Linked DNA regions of Caenorhabditis elegans. The protein of the gene in region 2 purifies or fractionates together with the protein of the main gene of each other region. This does not show direct contact. Each region holds a gene or a part of one and is shown on either strand. Other genes may lie near its edges.

The links.
Region 1: the proteins of pdhk-2 (region 2) and Y54E10A.11 fractionate together in Caenorhabditis elegans (co-fractionation; one large-scale study listed by BioGRID). This does not show direct contact.

Annotation. Positions count from the first base shown.
Region 1 is NC_003279.8:3,189,823-3,194,659, reverse strand, and holds the start of Y54E10A.11 (E3 ubiquitin-protein ligase listerin), read left to right. Parts: upstream 1-1,802; 5' UTR 1,803-1,963; coding exon 1,964-1,999; intron 2,000-2,048; coding exon 2,049-2,135; intron 2,136-3,889; coding exon 3,890-4,451; intron 4,452-4,837. Other genes in the region: syp-5 (PH domain-containing protein), read left to right, coding at 822-895, 945-1,001. UniProt on the Caenorhabditis elegans protein: E3 ubiquitin-protein ligase. Component of the ribosome quality control complex (RQC), a ribosome-associated complex that mediates ubiquitination and extraction of incompletely synthesized nascent chains for proteasomal degradation.
Region 2 is NC_003281.10:8,737,161-8,743,087, forward strand, and holds pdhk-2 (putative [pyruvate dehydrogenase (acetyl-transferring)] kinase, mitochondrial), read right to left. Parts: upstream 4,253-5,927; coding exon 4,185-4,252; intron 3,958-4,184; coding exon 3,703-3,957; intron 3,595-3,702; coding exon 3,408-3,594; intron 3,358-3,407; coding exon 3,254-3,357; intron 2,414-3,253; coding exon 2,278-2,413; intron 2,013-2,277; coding exon 1,914-2,012; intron 1,521-1,913; coding exon 1,413-1,520; intron 1,132-1,412; coding exon 883-1,131; 3' UTR 526-882; downstream 1-525. Other genes in the region: nssp-33 (DUF19 domain-containing protein), read right to left, coding at 4,929-4,991, 5,377-5,496, 5,546-5,620. UniProt on the Caenorhabditis elegans protein: Inhibits the mitochondrial pyruvate dehydrogenase complex by phosphorylation of the E1 alpha subunit, thus contributing to the regulation of glucose metabolism. Required for normal lifespan.

The DNA.
Region 1 (4,837 bases), on a different chromosome or scaffold from region 2:
TGAGGTATTCTACGTATTTCACTAAAAAAACTAAAAAACACTAAAAAAAATATTATTTTCATCTAAAAAAAATATTATTTTCAGATTAAACGAACACTTTTCCACATTTTTATGTAATTTTCAAGAAAATCTGAAAACCCAATTTTTTAAATCAAAAATTGGCATAAAACGGTAGAAAATATTTGTTCAATCTGAAAATAATATCGTTTTTTTTTTGCGGAAAAGCTCGAAAAATGCCCTTGGTCAGGTATTTTTTTTTTAAAAATCGAAAAATCTAGAAAAAAGTAGAAAAGCCTCTAGATTTATCAAAAATATGTTGATTTTGATGAGAAAAACGAAGAATTGGTCATCAAAATATTGATTTTCATTTGAAACATAATTTATCAGATTTTCAGGAATTTTTCCGAAAAAAAATTTAAAGTAATTTTCAATTTTTACGGAAAAATGTGTAAAAATGATGAAAACCCATTAAAATTGCTAGAAAATCGAAATTTGCTTGGGAATTCAAAAATAAATCGGCTTTTTTTTGTTGTGAAATTGGAAAAAAATCTTTCTAAAATTTATTTTAAATAATTGTGAAACTTTTGCAACAAATATTATCGTTTCGGTAATTTCTGGCTATTTTAATTGAAAAAAGTCAAATTATCGATTTTTAAGGCAATTTTAGGGTTTCTTTCACACAAAACGAAGCAAAAAACTTTTTTGAAAGAATGAGAAATGGCTGAAAATGCGATTTAAAAAAAAAAAAATCGGAAAACTAAAATTTTAAATATTTTTACGCTCATTTTTGGGTGGAAATTCTATAAAATACCGATTTTCAGATCTCGACAGCAGTATTATTGCTCCGAACAGAGCCAAATCAAAGGATGACAGGAAAAGTGATGATAGTGACGATGTTAGTTTTATATTAATTTTTTTAATCGAATAAAATGAAAAAATTTCAGGATCTGAACGACGAGGAGGGTGATGCGGATCAAAGTATCTGGGGAAGCGACGATTAGAAACGATTATTTTTTTTTATTGCAACCAGTAAATATAATTATTTTAAATGTGATTTATAATTTTGTGTCATTCGGTTTTGTTTTATACCCACACCTTTTTTAAAAAAATATCTGAAATTGTTTCTTATTCGATTTTATTTTCTTTGGTTTTTTAAAATTACTTTTTTTTGGTTCTATTTCGATCCAAATTCATTTATTTTATTTTTTTGGAAAATTGGAAAAAAAACTGAAAAGAGCCCATTTTTTGAATTGCTGCTTTCTTCCTAGTTTCGACGTTTTCCTGTTATTTTAATTGATTTTCCTCTTTTATTATATGTAATTTGAAACATAATTTATCACATTTTCAGGAATTTTTTCCGTAAAAAAGTTACAAAAAATAACGTTAAATTATCGAATTTTACAGAAAAATGTCTGTAAAAATGTGAGAAAAACCAATAAAAATATCTGAAAAATGCCGAAATTTGCGCGGGAATTCAAAAATAAATGGATTTTTCTGTGCAAAATTGAAAAAAAATTAATAAATATGACTATGGCAATTTTTTCATTAAAAAAAAATTCCAATTTGAAACATGATTTGTCACATTTTCAGGCATTTTTCCGCAAAAAAGTTGAGAAATTATCGATTTTTAAGCCAATTTTAGAATTTCTTTCACACAAAATGTTAAAAAAAAAAAAAACAAAATTTCGAATTATAAAACAAAAAAACGCAAAAAACCAATAAAAAATAGCTGGAAAATGTCAAATTTGTTGAAAAATTGAAAAAATAATTTCAAAAAATTTAGATAAATTCTACAATTTTAGGAAAACCCATTTTCCTGCAATTTACCATCTAAAAAGCTCACAGAGACACACTACACTCCACCTTTAAAAGCAAACGCGCTCCACCGAACAACTCCCAATTTTTTCCATTTTTATTAGGAAATACTGGATAATATTGTGCGTCTCTCTCGAACGGCTAAAAAATGAGTAAGCAGCAACGGCGAAAAGGAAATGCAAAGGTTAGTTTTTCATTCCTTGGCTAAAATGAAGATGAAACGAGTTGTTCAGAATGCGAGCAGTGCGGCGGCTCACGAGTATTTGGCTCAAGGAGGAGCCACGTTTGTCGGGTTGACGCCTGAGATGAATATTTTCGAGGTGAGAGGCTATTTGGATTTTTTTAAGTGAAAAAATAAAAAATTCCCAATATTTTTCCTTTATTAAACCTTTATTTCCGCTGAAAAATTAGGGAAAATGCTCAAAAACTACTTTTTTTTTGCCATTTTTGAGCAGTTTTTCAAACTTTTCGGCAGAAATATATGTTATTTTCAGAAAAATGAAGTAATTTTTAATGAAAAATTATTTTTAAAAAAAGCTTTAAAAAAAGTCCATTTTGATTTTTTTAATTAAAAAAGTAATGAAATTCCCAATATTTTTCCTTTGTTTTTAACCTTTATTTCCGCTGAAAAGTTTGGGAAAATACTCAAAAATTAGATTTTTTGCCATTTTTTAGCACTTTTTCAAACTTTTCGCCGGAAATAAAGCAAATTTTCATATTTTGACACTAATTTTAAATGAAAAATGTTAGAAAAACCGATCAAAAGAGCAGTGCCGCACAGAAAAAGAGGCGGAGCGTAATTTTGCAATCCTGCGGCACGGTTTCCACTTTTAAATTAAAATTTCGATTTCACTTGTTTTATTGGCACCTGAGATGAATATTTTCGAGGTGAGAGGCTATTTTGATTTGGAAAATCAAAAAAATTTAAAAAAATTCCCAAGATTTTTCATAAAATAACATTTATTTCCGCTGAAAAGTTTTGAAAAATGCTCAAAAAATTTTTTTTGCCATTTTTGAGCACTTTTCGGCGGAAATAAGTGTTATTTTCTGAAAAATCAAGTGATTTTTGATAAAAAATGTTAGAAAAAACTATCAAAAAAGCAGGCGCCGCACAGAAATAGAGGCGGAGCGTAATTTTGCAACCCTGCGGCACGTTTTCCACTTTTAAATTAAAATTTCGATTTTTACCTGTTTTCTTTTCTTTTCTTTTTTCTAATAAAAATATTATCCAATTTAATCCTCATATTACGTATACATCTGCAAAAGTCGCCATATCTTACGCGCAAGATATCCCGCAGGGAAGAGACAAAATTACTGTATTTGTGTCGATTTACGGGCCGGGTTGGCATCATTTTTTGAATTTAATTTTTTTTTAAATTTCGAGTAGCAATTTTTCATCTTCAAGCGTTTTTATGTTAAAAATTCAATTATTTAATTGAAAAATCCATAAAGATGAGAAAAAAAACGAAAAATATCTGAAATTTGAAAATTGCTGCTCGAAATTTAAAAAAGCAGTAATTTTCAACTTTCAGATACTTTTCGTTTTTTTCCTCATTTTTATGGATTTTTCAAATAAATAATTGAATTTTTAACATAAAACGCTTGAAAATGAAAAATCGCTGATCGAAATTGAAAAAAATTAAGTTCGAAAAATGCAGCCAGAGCGGTCCGTAAATCGACACGAATACAGTAACTTCGTTTCTTCCCCGCGGGATATCTTGCGCGTAAGATATGACGATTTTTTGTAGATGGATAAGTAATATCAGAATTAAATAGGATAATATTTTTATTCGAAAAAAGAGAATAAAACAGGTAGAAATCGAAATTTTTATTTAAAAGTTGAAAAACCGTGCCGCAGAGTTGCAAAATCACGCCCCGCCTCTTTTTCTGTGCGGGGCTGATTTTTTTCTAACATTTTTCATTAAAAATTAGTGCCAAAATATGAAAATTTGCTTTTTTTTTCCGCCGAAACGTGCTCAAAAATGGCAAAAAAAATGCTTTTTTCCGAACGTGTCAGCGGAAATAAATGTTATTTTCAGAAAAAAAAATTGAATTGCATTATAATTTTTTCCAGGTGGCCAGCAGCAATCGACTCCATCAAGTAGTGGAAATCGACGACGAAACTCGGATTGTCATGAAAAAATTGACGAAAAAAGACTGTCAGACGAGAGAAAAGGGGCTCAAAGAGCTTATGGAACTGATAAACACGGAAAATAGTTCGATCGAGAGCTCCTATGAGCATTTCTGTGGACTCGTCGCCCAGTTGACCACAGATGGAAGCCCAACTGTGAGAATGCTCACGATGAAAGTGATTTCTCAGTTTTTGACAAAGTTAAAGAAATCTGCGAGTAAAGGATTGAAGAAAATCATTCCTTTCGTTCTTTTTGCAAAGTCTGATGTTACGAATGGAGTCGCTGCGGCTGCTTCTGCAGTTATTCGAGATGGATTTGATGCGGATAAGAAGCGACAAGTTGTGGAGCTCTTTGTGCCGAATACCTTTGATTTGGCAGCGAAAATTGCGGAGGGAAAGCATGAACTCTCGCTGCCAGCGGAATATGATGCTTCGGAGGATCTGGAAACGCGGAAAATGAGACTGGAGACGCAATCTTTGAATACATTCCTATCTTATATTAAAGGTGGAGTAGAGTCAGAAAATATATGTTTTGAAGGTGGAGCACCGAAATTTGAGACTTTGCTTTTTAGACCCAAAATTGGTCCAAAACTACCGAATTTCGTAATGAGACGTTCTGAAAATTTCTCAAAAAAAGTTACGGCGGTTCAAAGTTCTGCAAAATAAGGCCCATTTTCAGCTAAAATCAAATTTTTGCCAACTTCTCTGTGTCTCAGCGTCTGGAACTTAATTTTTATTTATTCATCACTTTTTAATAAATATTACGGTTTTTTATTAGCCGTTTATTCGTTGATTTTTAGTACATTTATTGTCAGTGGAGCACAAAATGTAACTTTAAAAAAAAATGCAACTTTGCGCCCCACTGACCATAAATGCACTGAAAATCAACGA
Region 2 (5,927 bases):
ACCACGCCCACTTTTCTGTGCCAGCGCCATTTTTGTAGCTTTTTAAAGTTTTTTGAATCAATTCAGAGCTGGACTTTTCGTCAAAGAAATAGTTTCAATTAATTTAAAAGTTATAATTTTTATTTAAAAAATATTTGAAAACTCGTATAGTAGCTTAAAATATTTAAAAAAAAAACATTTCAAACAACAAAGAAAGCGCCTAAACAGAAAAGTATAGAAACAGAGAAATATTTGCACTTTCTGAAGATAGCAAAAAGTACAGATAATTCTATATAAATTTCCAGAAAAGGAGATTTTTTAATGTGCCGCACATCTATGTTCTCAATTGAACTCCATGGAAGCATTCAAATGTGAAAAGGCGCTCACAAAAACACCAAGATTTCCATGGCACATCGTCAGCTTCTCATCCTAGTAGTCGTCGCCGAGTGCGCAGCGCGAAAATTAAATTGTTTTGTCATGGAAGAAAAAGATGGAAAGAAGAATCTTCTCTTCTTTTTTCCACAAACTTGTCAAATTCAAATGTATGAGTTTGAATGATTTATTCCAAAGTTGTGAGTCTAATTCGGGAGGGATTTCAAATCACAACGAACTCGTGAAATACGGGGAGAGAAGAAAAAGAAGAAGAATAGAGCCCATCGCACCTACAAACGATTATATACAAAAAAAATGTCCGAGAAAGAGTAGAGCTAGAAGAAGTTTCAGAAAGAAAACAAATAATTTTGCTAGAAATGTTTTATATACAACAGAATTCTCGGGATTTGATGGACACCGGATAGACAGAAACGGAGAACAGTAGAAGTAAAAAGACGAATAAAATGAATGGCTAGAATATATTCACAACTTACAAAAAAAGAGCAATAAATACAAAAAACTCGAGTACGATCATGATTGAGCTGGACGATTTCCTTGACCAGGAACATGATGCGACCAATCAGCTACTTGTGGTCCCATTGTCAAATTTCGACGCGAAGAAGTACTATAAATTGGGAGTACTTCACTAGCCTCAACTGGTACAGCTTTCAAGTAGATACATGCATCCGTTCCATGTCCTTCCATGGAAACCAAAAAGAGGTCACCAAGGAAATACCGAGCGTATAGTCGAGATAGTGGCAGTCCGTATCCGTAACCAGCCTAAAAATCTCGATTTTTAAAAATATAAACCATACAGTATGAATCTGGACTCTAGTTATTAAAAATTCAACTTATTTTCGAAAAATTAGAAAACTTTTAAATACTGGTTTTTTTCAAAAAAAAAACTCTTAAAACTTCTATAACTTGATCAAAAATTGGCTTTGAAATTTTTTTTGAAACAAAATGTGATTTATAATGGTTTTATTGTTGTTTTTTGGTTTTTCACAAATATAAATTTTTGGTCCATTGTTTTTGTTTATTTTTACTTTCAAAATACTTACCAAAGGAGCTTGTGTTCCATCACGTGGCGGTGGTGGAGCTGTTGAGTACATGTAGTTGTAGAGACGTTCGAGAATAGTTCTGGATACACCTCCTCCACGATCACAAATCTGTAAAAGAAAATATTTGAAACCTGCGGCAAAAATTGCAAAAAAAAACCAATTTTATTTTAAAATAAAACATTCGAATTTTTCAATAACTGTATATACATATGCTAGAATTTTTCCAGTAACTTAAAAAAAAAATTTTTGACAAAAAAATTAAAAGAAAGTTTAGTATTTTTTAGACTCTAAAAAATTGTTTAAAAAATGTTTTACAATCTCTAAAAAGTAAAACAATTCCATAAAATTTAGAAAAAATTCTTTAAATTAAAAAAAATGATACTCAGTATATTGAGACTGTCTTCTGTAATTTAGGGCAAAAATCCACAGAACCTCACCAAAATGTACAGTAATTTTAAATAAAATACGACTGATTTTCGAAACCAATCAATAATTCAATACCTTAATAGATAAATCCTCTTGTCCTTTGACTACATAAACTTTAATATCTGGAAGATCATCATCAACTCCATGATATTCAACTGTCGCTCTCATTGCATTCTGTAAAAAAAAGAGAATTTGAAAACCCCTCCATACACATTTTTCTGTTCTTTCTACTTTCAACTTAATCGTTTCCTTTTTTAATTCCTCTTTTTCCAATTCTCTTATCATTTTCATCTCTTATCTCTCTTTTTCTATCGTTTTTTTAGTATCAAAACTGCAACAGCACGTGGGGAAGAAGTGTGTGCGTTCAAAAAGGCACTTTGTTACATTGAAGTGATGAAGAGGCGTCGTCTTTTTTTTAATTCGTATCTTCATAGCTAACCTTAAACAGTTCGAACATCATGTGATAGAGATGACTTGGTACGGCGACAATCGATATTGGTTTTCCTTTTTCAACGGCATTGTGCATTTCAAGCTTCATTGATGGACTTGTCAAGTAGTATCGATCACATAGAAATCTGTAACAAAAAATTATTATATGAAAATATTAGCTTTTTCTGTTTTTTTTTAAGTTTTTCCGATTAAAATCATGTCGCTAAATTTCAGGTGAAATAGTTTCAGCCGTTCCTTTATTTTTGCAAAAGTGAAAAAAATCATTAAAAATTTTTTTGTGTTTTTTTAACCCTCAAATCAAATTTTCTATGATAATTTTGTAAAAGATCAGAATAAAACTCCCACGGAAATTTTCTAAATCAAAATTGCATATTTTCCTCCTTATCCCTCTAATTCATATTTTCGTTCTTTGAAATGATCAGGTTTGCCCGAAATCACACGCGTTTTAAAAAATCAAACGTCATCCCTCTCCATCTCAAAGAACACTCCCTGCACGGAAGAAAGGTTGAATGGGCAGTGGTGGTAGAGAGAATGAACTATGTTTTCAGGCTCAAATGACAACTGACGACTATGTGCTCACCCAGAGACACAGCACATTCAATCTTCGTCGCAGACGGACAGCGAAGAACTAGCTTATCAAAAACCCAAAAGACGCCATTCGTATAGTTGAGAAGGCCTGATGAGGACCAGAGCGGTCCAACGGAAATTTTTGTTAAAATTTATTGACTTTTCGTAAATTTTTTGAGAAAAATTTACTCAGAATTAATTTATCACAATTTTCTGCAAGAATTAAGAGCCGGAAGTTCTAGCAAAGAAGCAAAAAATGAAGAAATGGAAGGTATTGCTGAGGGCCTTGAACATCAATCTCAAAAAAAAAATTTTAGAACATTTTCTGGTGAAACTTTGGACTTTTATCGGCTTATTTCTTTAATTTCTAGGCAATTTTATCATCAACTTGCACTCACCGAGCATTTTCAAAAGCATCGTACACTACACTTTCCACATCACAGGCAGGATCAATACATCCAACATGACGAGGACTTTCTGGGAGAACATTTCCGAATACAACCTGGAAAAAATGTTTTATTTGAAAATATTAAAATTTTTAAAATAACTTACCAGATGTTGATTTTGAAGCATACGAATGGAAATTCTGTTGATGTAAAATCGATCCAAGAAATATTGAATTCCTTTTTCACTTGCAATATCTACTCCATCCGATTCTCGAAGTTCAATCAATCCTTCAGCCATTGTTTCGACGACATGTGCGTGTCTTTTCAGTACGACTGTTAACTGATCATTGAATCTGAAAAACATAAATTAACATTAATATTTTAAAAATGTATTTCTAAACTTTTAAAACCAAAAAATCAAGTTTTTTTTTGTAAATTAGGTATTCAATTTTTTCTCTTACCTTGCAACTTGCTCTGGAGATGAATCAGATGCCTCGAACAAAAGAAGATCCTCGAAACTCTCAGCATACCAATTTGATACCATTTTTGAACTTGGCATTTGAAGAAGCTTTGGTGGAAGAAGTGTGAATTCCTGCATAATATTCGCCAAACGAACGAGAAGCTCATTTTTCAAAAATGTGTATGAATTTGCTGATGTTCCTATTCGACCGAAATCCAAATATTGTTGAATTGTAAGTGATGAAGGTTGAAATTGACTGAAAAATAACTTTATATTGAATTTTTCATCGAAACAAGATCAAAATTCACTCAACAGTGCAGAAAAATAAAAAAAAAACGACGCCTTAGCCGGCTAAAAATAAACAAAAACTAGTTTTCCCTGGAACAAACAGACCGGGCAGAGAACAAAGGCCATCGATTCCAATATTAAAAACGATACTTTTCATAATCTCCTGGTTTTTAAAGCTGAAACAAATATTATTACCTATAATAATCGAGTTTCTTGGCCAATGAACCCACGAAAGGGCCTAGTAACTTCCGCGAAAAGCGCATCTGAAAATTAATTTGTTTTTTTCTATTTTTGAAATGAAAACGAGAAAGTACAAAGTGGGACAATCAAGAGAAATACGTTGTTTACGCTGCCGCATTGAGAAAATTATGGAATATTGAAAAAAAGTGAAACAGAGAGTATAAATTGCACGTCGGCAATCTCCTCCTCCCATCTCGCTTCGAGTTCGGCCGATGCGATGAAAATCGAGGGATGCGCCAAGGCGGACACTGACGCAATTCAGTGTCTTGCGCAATTCAAGTTTACGGCGGTAGTTTAAAATTACAAATATGGGAATTTGAGCTTTTTGAAGAAAAGCCAGCGTTAAAAACAATAGTTTAAAATAATTATTGATGTCACTGACTTACTTCACTATTTTGCCATTATAAATGCTTTTTTGTAACCGAAAGTTTTTTTTAAATTTTTTTAATGTCGATTACTACTGTACTCGTTAAAGGCGTCGGTTCGGGTCGTGTCGAGACCGGGGTACCGTATTTTTGAGTTAACAACGAATTATATTGCAAATTAACATTACGAATATTTATTTATTGCGCCTCAAATTTCACAAGATTTAAATAAATTAAAGTAAGTAAAAACAAATTGCAATGCCAGAAAAAGTGTGTGAACCAGAACCAGTATACAGAAAGTTGAGAAGAAAAAATGAACTACTCGTTGTAGAGATTAGAATAATGCAGAATGCATGTCACAATTGGGCATTGTCACACCAAGACTGTCACGTGTCACCTGAAATTAGCTGATATTTCAATAATACGGGATTTTTTGCACAAGGAAAGTTATTGATCTTATTTGGAAAATGACCAATTTTCAAATAGTACCCAACAAAAACGTTAGGGGCGTGCCCTAGAGCACTTTAATCTGGCAAAAAGTAGATCTGAAACTTATTCAGTGCATTTATCATTACTTGAAATCTGCCAAACTGATCAAAAATATGTTTTTTTTTAAACTAATGATGGTTGTAGGAACGCTTTTTGGAATTTCTTGGTTTTTCGAAAAAATTACTCTTCTTAACTAGATCGAAAAAGATCAGAATTTTTTAAGAAAAAGAAAAACATCTTGAAATGCCAAATTTTGAGAATTAAAAAAACAATTTTGCCCTTGATAAACATACAGTAGAAACTAATGTCCATGCATCGGAACCACACTTTGCCAAAATAATTGGATGAGAACATCTCAAATATCCATCCATCGCTCGACACATTTCAGTCAAATACGCTTCTGTTGATGATCCCTGAATCTCATACTTGATCTACTCAAAACATGAAACAAAATGAACTCACTTTTGCTCCTTGTGCTTCAGAAATTGCTTGAGTGGCTGCTATCTTACAGCTGATATACTCTTTTTGGGCTTCGACCTTAAATTTGATTACTGTAACTTTGTTGAAGAAGACGAAGAGTGTCACAACATTATTTGTAGATGCAAAAATGTTGTCAATCACAAAAGAGTAGAAACTTAAATTGTAGAAAAATTCTAGACAACTGTCTTTCTGATACTCTTTTAACCAATCAATTGATCAAGTTATGACAGTTATTTTTTTAAAACAGTTGTCCAGACTCTTTCCAAATTAGAAATATTCTAAAGTTTCTTTTGCCGAATACTGTACTTAGTTTATACCAACTTTTTTTAAACCAGTTTGTGATTTTTTATAATATACGATTAAA